2 linked regions of the Rattus norvegicus genome follow. Each later gene encodes a partner of the first gene's protein in a complex. Links are inferred from orthologs where the notes say so. Each region holds a gene or a part of one and is shown on either strand. Other genes may lie near its edges.

The links. Proteins that work in one complex are often made in the same cells at the same time.
Region 2: Strip2 (region 1) and Pdcd10 share a complex: the UniProt entries of both Homo sapiens proteins name them as parts of the core of STRIPAK complex. The link is inferred for Rattus norvegicus from reciprocal best matches to the Homo sapiens genes STRIP2 and PDCD10.

What each region holds. Positions count from the first base shown.
Region 1 is NC_086022.1:59,513,361-59,517,012, reverse strand, and holds part of Strip2 (striatin interacting protein 2), read right to left. Parts: intron 3,213-3,652; coding exon 3,092-3,212; intron 2,471-3,091; coding exon 2,402-2,470; intron 2,215-2,401; coding exon of another isoform or gene 2,210-2,214; coding exon 2,103-2,209; intron 1,452-2,102; coding exon 1,324-1,451; intron 213-1,323; coding exon 9-212; intron 1-8. UniProt on the Homo sapiens protein: Plays a role in the regulation of cell morphology and cytoskeletal organization. Required in the control of cell shape. Calmodulin-binding scaffolding protein which is the center of the striatin-interacting phosphatase and kinase (STRIPAK) complexes.
Region 2 is NC_086020.1:162,613,488-162,617,139, reverse strand, and holds part of Pdcd10 (programmed cell death protein 10), read left to right. Parts: intron 1-2,495; coding exon 2,496-2,613; intron 2,614-3,652. UniProt on the Homo sapiens protein: Promotes cell proliferation. Modulates apoptotic pathways. Increases mitogen-activated protein kinase activity and STK26 activity. Important for cell migration, and for normal structure and assembly of the Golgi complex.

The DNA of each region.
Region 1 (3,652 bases):
GTCCATACCCTTCGAGAGCCACGGCGGCCCCGCAGTTTGGAGGGTGGCGGGGCCAGCTGAGACTCGCCTAGATCAAGAGTGTAAGAAGGCGGAGAGGCAGCACGCATGCTCTTTACGACCTGGATACTGTCCTCAGCTAGTGGAGGCAGGCCCAACTCTGCACGCTTCTGTATTTTGAGAGCCTGCAGGTGCTCAAATCCACCAAGGGTAAACTAAAGAGTAAAAAGGAAAAGGGAAGTTATCCAGTACCAAGTGCCGGCCCTGAGCATGCTGAGTTTATGTATTTAGAAACAGACACACACGCATGCATGCACATGAGCACATACAGACACACACACACACATGTATACAAGCACACGCACACAAGCGCGTGCATGCGCGCGCGCGCACACACACACACACACACACACACACACACACACACAAGTAACTAACAATAAGAGGTCATAAATTTCAGAGAGAGTAAAGAGCAAGGGATGGGTGCCTGGGAAGGGAAAGGGGGAAATGATGTAATTATATTAAGATTTAAAAAAAATGTTATGTAAAAGGAAAAACCTGATCCAGTCTGAATGTCTCCAGGGTCAGAATAAAACACAGTATTACTTATTGCCCCAGAAATTAGAAGCAGGGGTGGAAAAAGCTTAAAGAACAGAAGACACCCCTGCTTTGTTTTGTTTCTTAAGCAGGGTCTCACTGTGTAACCTGAGCTGGCTTTAACTGCAAACTCCATCCTCAGTCTATCAAGTTTTACAACCATATGCCACCATCCGTGCCACAATCTCTCATTTTAAGGAGCACATTCAGATGTCAGGATGTCCCAAGAGTCACAGTTTCCTCTGCAATCCAGTGGTGGTTTACTCTGTGAAGCCCACTAATAGGGTATGTTGTTCCTTTAGCCCTATAGGATCCGAGCCAGAGGAAGACTATAGGATGAAGGGTCAGGTTGAAAAATAAATAACAAATTATTAACTATATACTTGTAAGGATGTCTATCCTCTAGTGGAAGAAAAGGCATGCATTAGTTTTAACATTTCCCAGTTACAGAAACAGGTAGAGAACGGTCAGAGGCTCATTGTAATGGACAGAGCCAGATCCCCAGTGGCCAGCTAGTGTGCTTTCTATGAAACATCGATTCTGTTAGGGAAAGGCGCCACTGATCTTCAGCTCAGAGAGTGGCATCCAACAGATCCGTCCAATAGAAAAAGAAGCCTGATGATGCTGACTATTGGACAGGGACTAACTGCTGCCAAGCTCCAGCTCGGAGAACCCAGATTAGAAGGATCAGATTGGGTGAGATAGGGATGGAGATGATCAGCCACTCACCATGACCACCTTCCAGAGGAGAAGCAGAACCTTCTTTATTGGAAAGTGGGGGGCCAGGCCACTGCAGAATTTGGTAACCATGGAAAACAGCAGGAGTGCAAAAGGCTCTTCATTATGTGTGGAGAAACCTGAGGTATAAGGAGAATCAAGAGAAAAGTGAGAGGAAGTAGCTGAGTCTGGGCACGCTGAGGAAGGCACTCAACCTCCCCTGACAAATTCCAGAGTACTTATAAAGGAGGCACAGTGAGACCCAGAAGGCTTCCCCTGAAGGGCAGGATCGAGGCTGTTGTGGTATAATTGTGTGCTCCACCCCTAGAGGGTAAGGAAATGCTTAGAGGAGCCTAGCAAACAGGAAGTAACAGTGATGACGTGGCTTTCTGGAATCAAGGTATTTCATGAACCACACTTCATTCTTAACTTATTTACATCAATAAATAGATTTTTTTTAAAAAATAGTTTTACATCTTATCCTTGTCAGATGACCACTTCAACTTACATTAGAACAAAGTTCAGTTTTTAAGGCAATTCAACTCATTTTTTCCCTCAATATGGGATTCAAATGGAAGAATGGCTATTCTCAATTCTAACCAAGGAAACTAAGACACACAGGGGTGCAGTCAAACCCAACCCTCATGCCCCATGCAATATCCTTGGCTTAAAAAGGAAAAGAAGCTATTTTTTAAAAAAGAAAAAGAACAAAAAAGGACTGCTTTCCTCTACTGCTTCCCGTCCACCCTCAGAGCTTTCTCCCTAGCCCCTCCTCACATGCTACTTCTTACTCAGTTCGGTTCGGAAGGTCTCTCGGGCTGTCCTCCACCCACAGGGGTCTATTTCTCGCTCCAAGCGGATATTTTCCACCATTAGGTACATGACACTCAGCAGTACCCTGAGGTTACAAAAGGATCATAAGAGATGCAGTTCCCAGCTTATAGTTGCAGAATTCACAGATGAAGCCAGTGGAAGTCCAACCAGAGAAGATTAGTTAAAAGGTAACTTCCCACTTTTTTTGGGATTTGGAAAAAGGGTAACACAGGCCACTTATCACCTCTGTTCAAAGCCCAGGGGCACCTTCACTCACCTGAGCTCAGTGCTGTCAGCAATGGAGACGGCTGGTTTCCGAAGGGCACTACTAGAGGCCTGGCTGTTGCTGCCATGCAGAAGAAAGAAAGAAGAGGAACCCATCAGGCCTTTTCCTCCCCATGCTCACTTACTCTACACAGAAACACAAACACCTGCCCTTCCTTGTCTCACAGAGACAGTGAGGCTCAGCTAAGGAACCTGGAGACCCTTGCTACCTCAGTAAATCCTCAGCTACAGTGAAGACAGGCAAAAAGAAAGTCTGTGGTATCAACTCCTCTTGTGATTCCCCACAATGCTTACCGCTGTGCTGGAGACAAAACAGATGCTAAGCAATATCTGACAAGAAATAAGCAGATTTCAGTGTATTCAAAACTCCCGGGTGGCAGGCACAAGAGAAAGCAGTAGTAGCAGCAGCAGCAGCAGCAGCAGCAAAGGCCACTTTGACAGTTATAACTCATGACAGATAATTAGGCTCGATGACAGAAAGTGGTCTGTTTCTCTTGTGATTATGATGGAAAAGTTTATGAATTCTAGAGTGAGGGAAGAACGCTGGCTAGGAGGACACTGTCAGTGAACTTTGAGTGGAGATGTGAGTGGGGATTCCCATAGGGAAATCTACTGAGGAACTCCACAGACATGTGAATTCTTCAAGAACGTTTCTAAGCCAGCCCTCCCCAAGGCTTCTTACTCGATTTCCATGTGGAGTAGCTCCAGGAAGGCTGAGAAAGTCCCCATCCGATAGAGCAGGAAGCAATTGTATCTGGACCAGTGTAGCACATCAACCTCAGAATCGCATTCCCCAAAAGTGCCTAGAGGATTAGATAATGGCTATAGGACTTGGCGTTGGGAGGGGGCAGGCAGTTTAGTTCTTTCTACCCCACCATATGATCTTAAAACTTTGCCAATACTTTACAGAATAATGAAGCTCACAGTATCTGGGCAGGGCCCACGAGGACTTCCTTAAATGAGTGAGTCAGTAGAGAGAAGAGGTAGTCTCCTGGGTAAGCCAAATGTGCTGCTCACCAATGGCCAATCTTTTTTGAATGATTCATTTTTATTCTATGTTCATGGGTGTTTTACTTGCATGTATGTCTGTTATGAGGGTGTCAAATCACTTGGAGTTGGATTCCGGACAGTTGTGAGCTGCAATATGGTTGCTGGGAATTGAACTCAGGTCCTCTGGAAGAGCAGCTAGTGCTCTTTTTTTTTTTTTTTTTTTTTTTTTTTTGGTTCTTTTTTTCGGAGCTGT
Region 2 (3,652 bases), on another chromosome or scaffold:
CCTAAGACTATATTAATACTACAATTCATAACAGTTGAAAAATTACAGTTATGAAATAGCAAAAAAATTATTTTTATGCAACATGAGGAACTATATTAAATGGTTGCAGCACTAAGAAGGTTGAGAAAACCACTGCACCAAGACATAATTTCCAACAGTTGTGCCCAGCTGCCCTGCAAACCTAGTGGGTTGTGTAAAGTGTTTTAGAAAAATGAGTACTGTGAAACTAACATCTGTTTACATTGTGAACTTCTTTAGAAGTAGTTTGTGATTTCAACATACTAGATTGATCTGCATTCTTTGAAATGATGGCCTGTCTTTGAGGAACTACTAAAAGCAAGTACCAGAAAAAGGAAAAAAAAAAAAATCAATGTGCAGGGGGAAATGAGAATGGTGGTGCCAATCTAAGTCCGGTGTTTGAGAAACTACAGTGCTCAGGAAGTGCAAACATCCCATTAATTAGTACATAGCAATAGATAAAATATTGTCTATTTTGTTGTGTACAAAGTTTTGGGATAACTCTGTTATTAGGATATACCACTTCCCTAAGATATTTGTACTACCTAAACTACGGAATAAACTGCATTTGGCTCTCAGCTCTGAGAACTGGGAAAGCTCAGGGCCTCTGTGAGACTTCTGCATTTTCCACTGCTGACCTTTTGCTGTGCCAAATCAAACTAGTATTAAAAACTTTGTGTGCAGACTTAGATTTAATTCTTTCAGCACTTTAACTTAATTAGCAAGCTGTTTCTCTGCAGCTATTTCCTGTAAACACCATGCCCCCAAGATAATTCATTATGTAGGTGGACTTAATGCTACTTGGACAAGGAAGATAAACAACTGTTATGAAATAAGCATCTAGTATAATTTTTGGCAGTTCAGGAAACTAAGACTATAATAGCTCATTTAACCAAATTTGAATCATTTTTCTTTTGAGGGTTACCTTGACGAAACAGAATTTAGATGCTGCAAGAACAGTGATCCATCCCATGTGTATATTTTGTGCCTTTCCCCACTTCAGTTCATAACCTCTAAGGTTTTCCTACTTGAGATCTCAAGAGTGTTTTAAGAAAGTGATGAACACAAGAAAACTGTAACCTCGGTGACATTAGGATGGAGCTCCAGAGTCAGAGAGGTTAATTGTGTTTGAAACTCAGGAAGCTGAATGAGTGTCATTGGATCAAGATTAGAAATTATGCTTCTACATGATTATTAGGATAAAAGAAAAACTGTTATATAGATTTAATTGGCAGGCATCCTTAAGGAGACACAATTTCAATTTGATTAAAAAAATTTAAGTAATGGAATAGACTAAATTACTGTGAAAGTGGAAGTACAAAACTTGCCTTTATATTCAATCTTGGCATGGCTAGATTCTAGGGCCCTAAGAGATGTGCATTTATTTATAATGCTCCACATTATCTATCGTGCTCTGTCGGTAGCTTTCCAGGGTACTCTAGAGGGCTGCTGGGAAGGCTCCATGCAGAAATGCAATTGTCAAGCAAACCTGATGTGCAAAATTCAATTCCCCGAGCCCATGCAAAGTGGGAGAAGAAAAGTGACTCCCCGGAGCTGTCCTATCACTTATACTTGTACATGGGTACTTGCCTATGGCCAAGCAACGCGCGCGCGCGCACACACACACACACACACATACACATCCCAGTAACAGTAAATAAAAAATCAAATTTCAATGAGTGATAATTTAAAAACCATTGAACAAAATTTCTTGCTATAAAGCTAAAATGAGAAATGGAAATTATTCTATGAAAAGTAGGTAAGTGAATAAATCAATTTTACTTAAAAGTGCAAAAGCTACCCTAGTGTTTTATTTAGCTTTTCCTGGTATTTAATTCTAATACAGCACATATTCCAAAAACATTTGATGAGTTATTATTGCCCATCTAAGATGAAATATTATATATGCTAAAATGTCTCAGTGTATTCATGATAAGAGCAATCTATCATAAAGAGATTTTGTCATTGTTGGTTGACTGAGAGAAGACATAATAGAAAGGCAAGGAATGCTCGGTGTGTCTGTGACTTTGCACATGATAAAAGCTTCTGACGTATAAGCTGAGCAAAGCTGATGGTGCCCTTAGTGGCACCGTGTCACCGATGCTTTCTGTTCTTATAAGTAAATAAATTCTTAACAATTAAGTTTTAGCTTTAAAATGCTGATCACATTTCTGTATTTCAAAACTAGAGATATTTTTTATAGGAAAACATGAGAAGTGTAAGGATTTTTTACCTTTTTATTAATTCTTTATGAATTTTGCATCATGTATGCCAGTCCCACTCATCTTCCCATCCATCCCCTTGTATCTGCCCCTTGTCCTTGAAACCTCCCTCCAAAATAAAGAAACAGACAAACAAAAAACAAAGCATGGGAAGCATCTCATTGTGGAAGCAGTGTTTCTCACAGTATATCCCTCTGTCACAGAAGCCAGAGATCTCGAACCAGACAGTTGACTCATTACATGTTTTTCTTGCAGGCTGAAAAGGAAAATCCAGGCCTCACACAAGACATCATTATGAAAATCTTAGAGAAAAAAAGTGTAGAAGTTAACTTCACTGAGTCCCTTCTTCGTATGGCAGCTGATGACGTAGAAGGTACCAGAACGAAGACTTGTGTTTAGTTTCTCCATTCTTGAGAAGCACTTCCTTCAGATCATTACCAGTTGTCCCCCTTCCTTCATGCTTCTTGTGATGGTAGTGGACATTATCTGTAAAAGGAAACAAGCAGACTCTTTAACTTTTCTGTATTTGTCAAATTTAGTTAAGTGACATATTTGTTGATACAACACACTTTTATCTTTTTGCCCATTAATATAGGGATCGACAAATTTCAAATTCACTGAAAGTTCTGAGAAATATTCTGTGTAGCATTTGAAAGAAGTGAGCCGTTTTTAAGTTGATGAGCTTCCTACTAGACAGTGAGCCTGGTAGTAAGAAGCCTTTTTATCTACCAAGTCTGACTGAGACTTCTTTTTAAAAGCCATTTTAGGAGCCCAGCCTATATGTTGAGCTTGTATTGGCCTTTGTTTTCAAATGAAATTTTAAGAATATACTGAAAATTGTAGGAAGTTTGTGATTATAATATAATGAACTACAGTATATTTCACATTGTAGACATTTTAATATGAGCCAAAGTATGTTCAACACGATGTGGTTTTAGTATGATGAACCATAAAATATTCTACACTATAGTAGATTCAGTACTGTAGGAGTTTTAATATTATTGCCCATCACATATTCAATACTAAAGGAAGCTTAATAAAGTAGGCTGTACTACATTCCACACTATAGGGGTTTTAAGTTTCTGAATTCCCCTTTCCTTTTTACAAATATGTAAATGACCTACTTCTTCTTTATGAGTGTCATTATTTAAGATCTCATGGGACATCAATACAGAACATCAGGACTCATGAGTTAAGGAGCCTCCTTTCTTTAAATCAATGGATGGGTGGATTATTTAAGATTGTATTACATTTCCTCATATATCTCAAAGATATGTAGTCTTACTCTGTTTTACTTTAGAAATTATTTATTTATTTTTACACCTGACCAAGTTGAACTTTGTTTCTGTTTTCGGACTAAATGACTGTCTTCCCACTCTATCCTTCCTTTAGTCTGCATTGGGAGTTGTTAG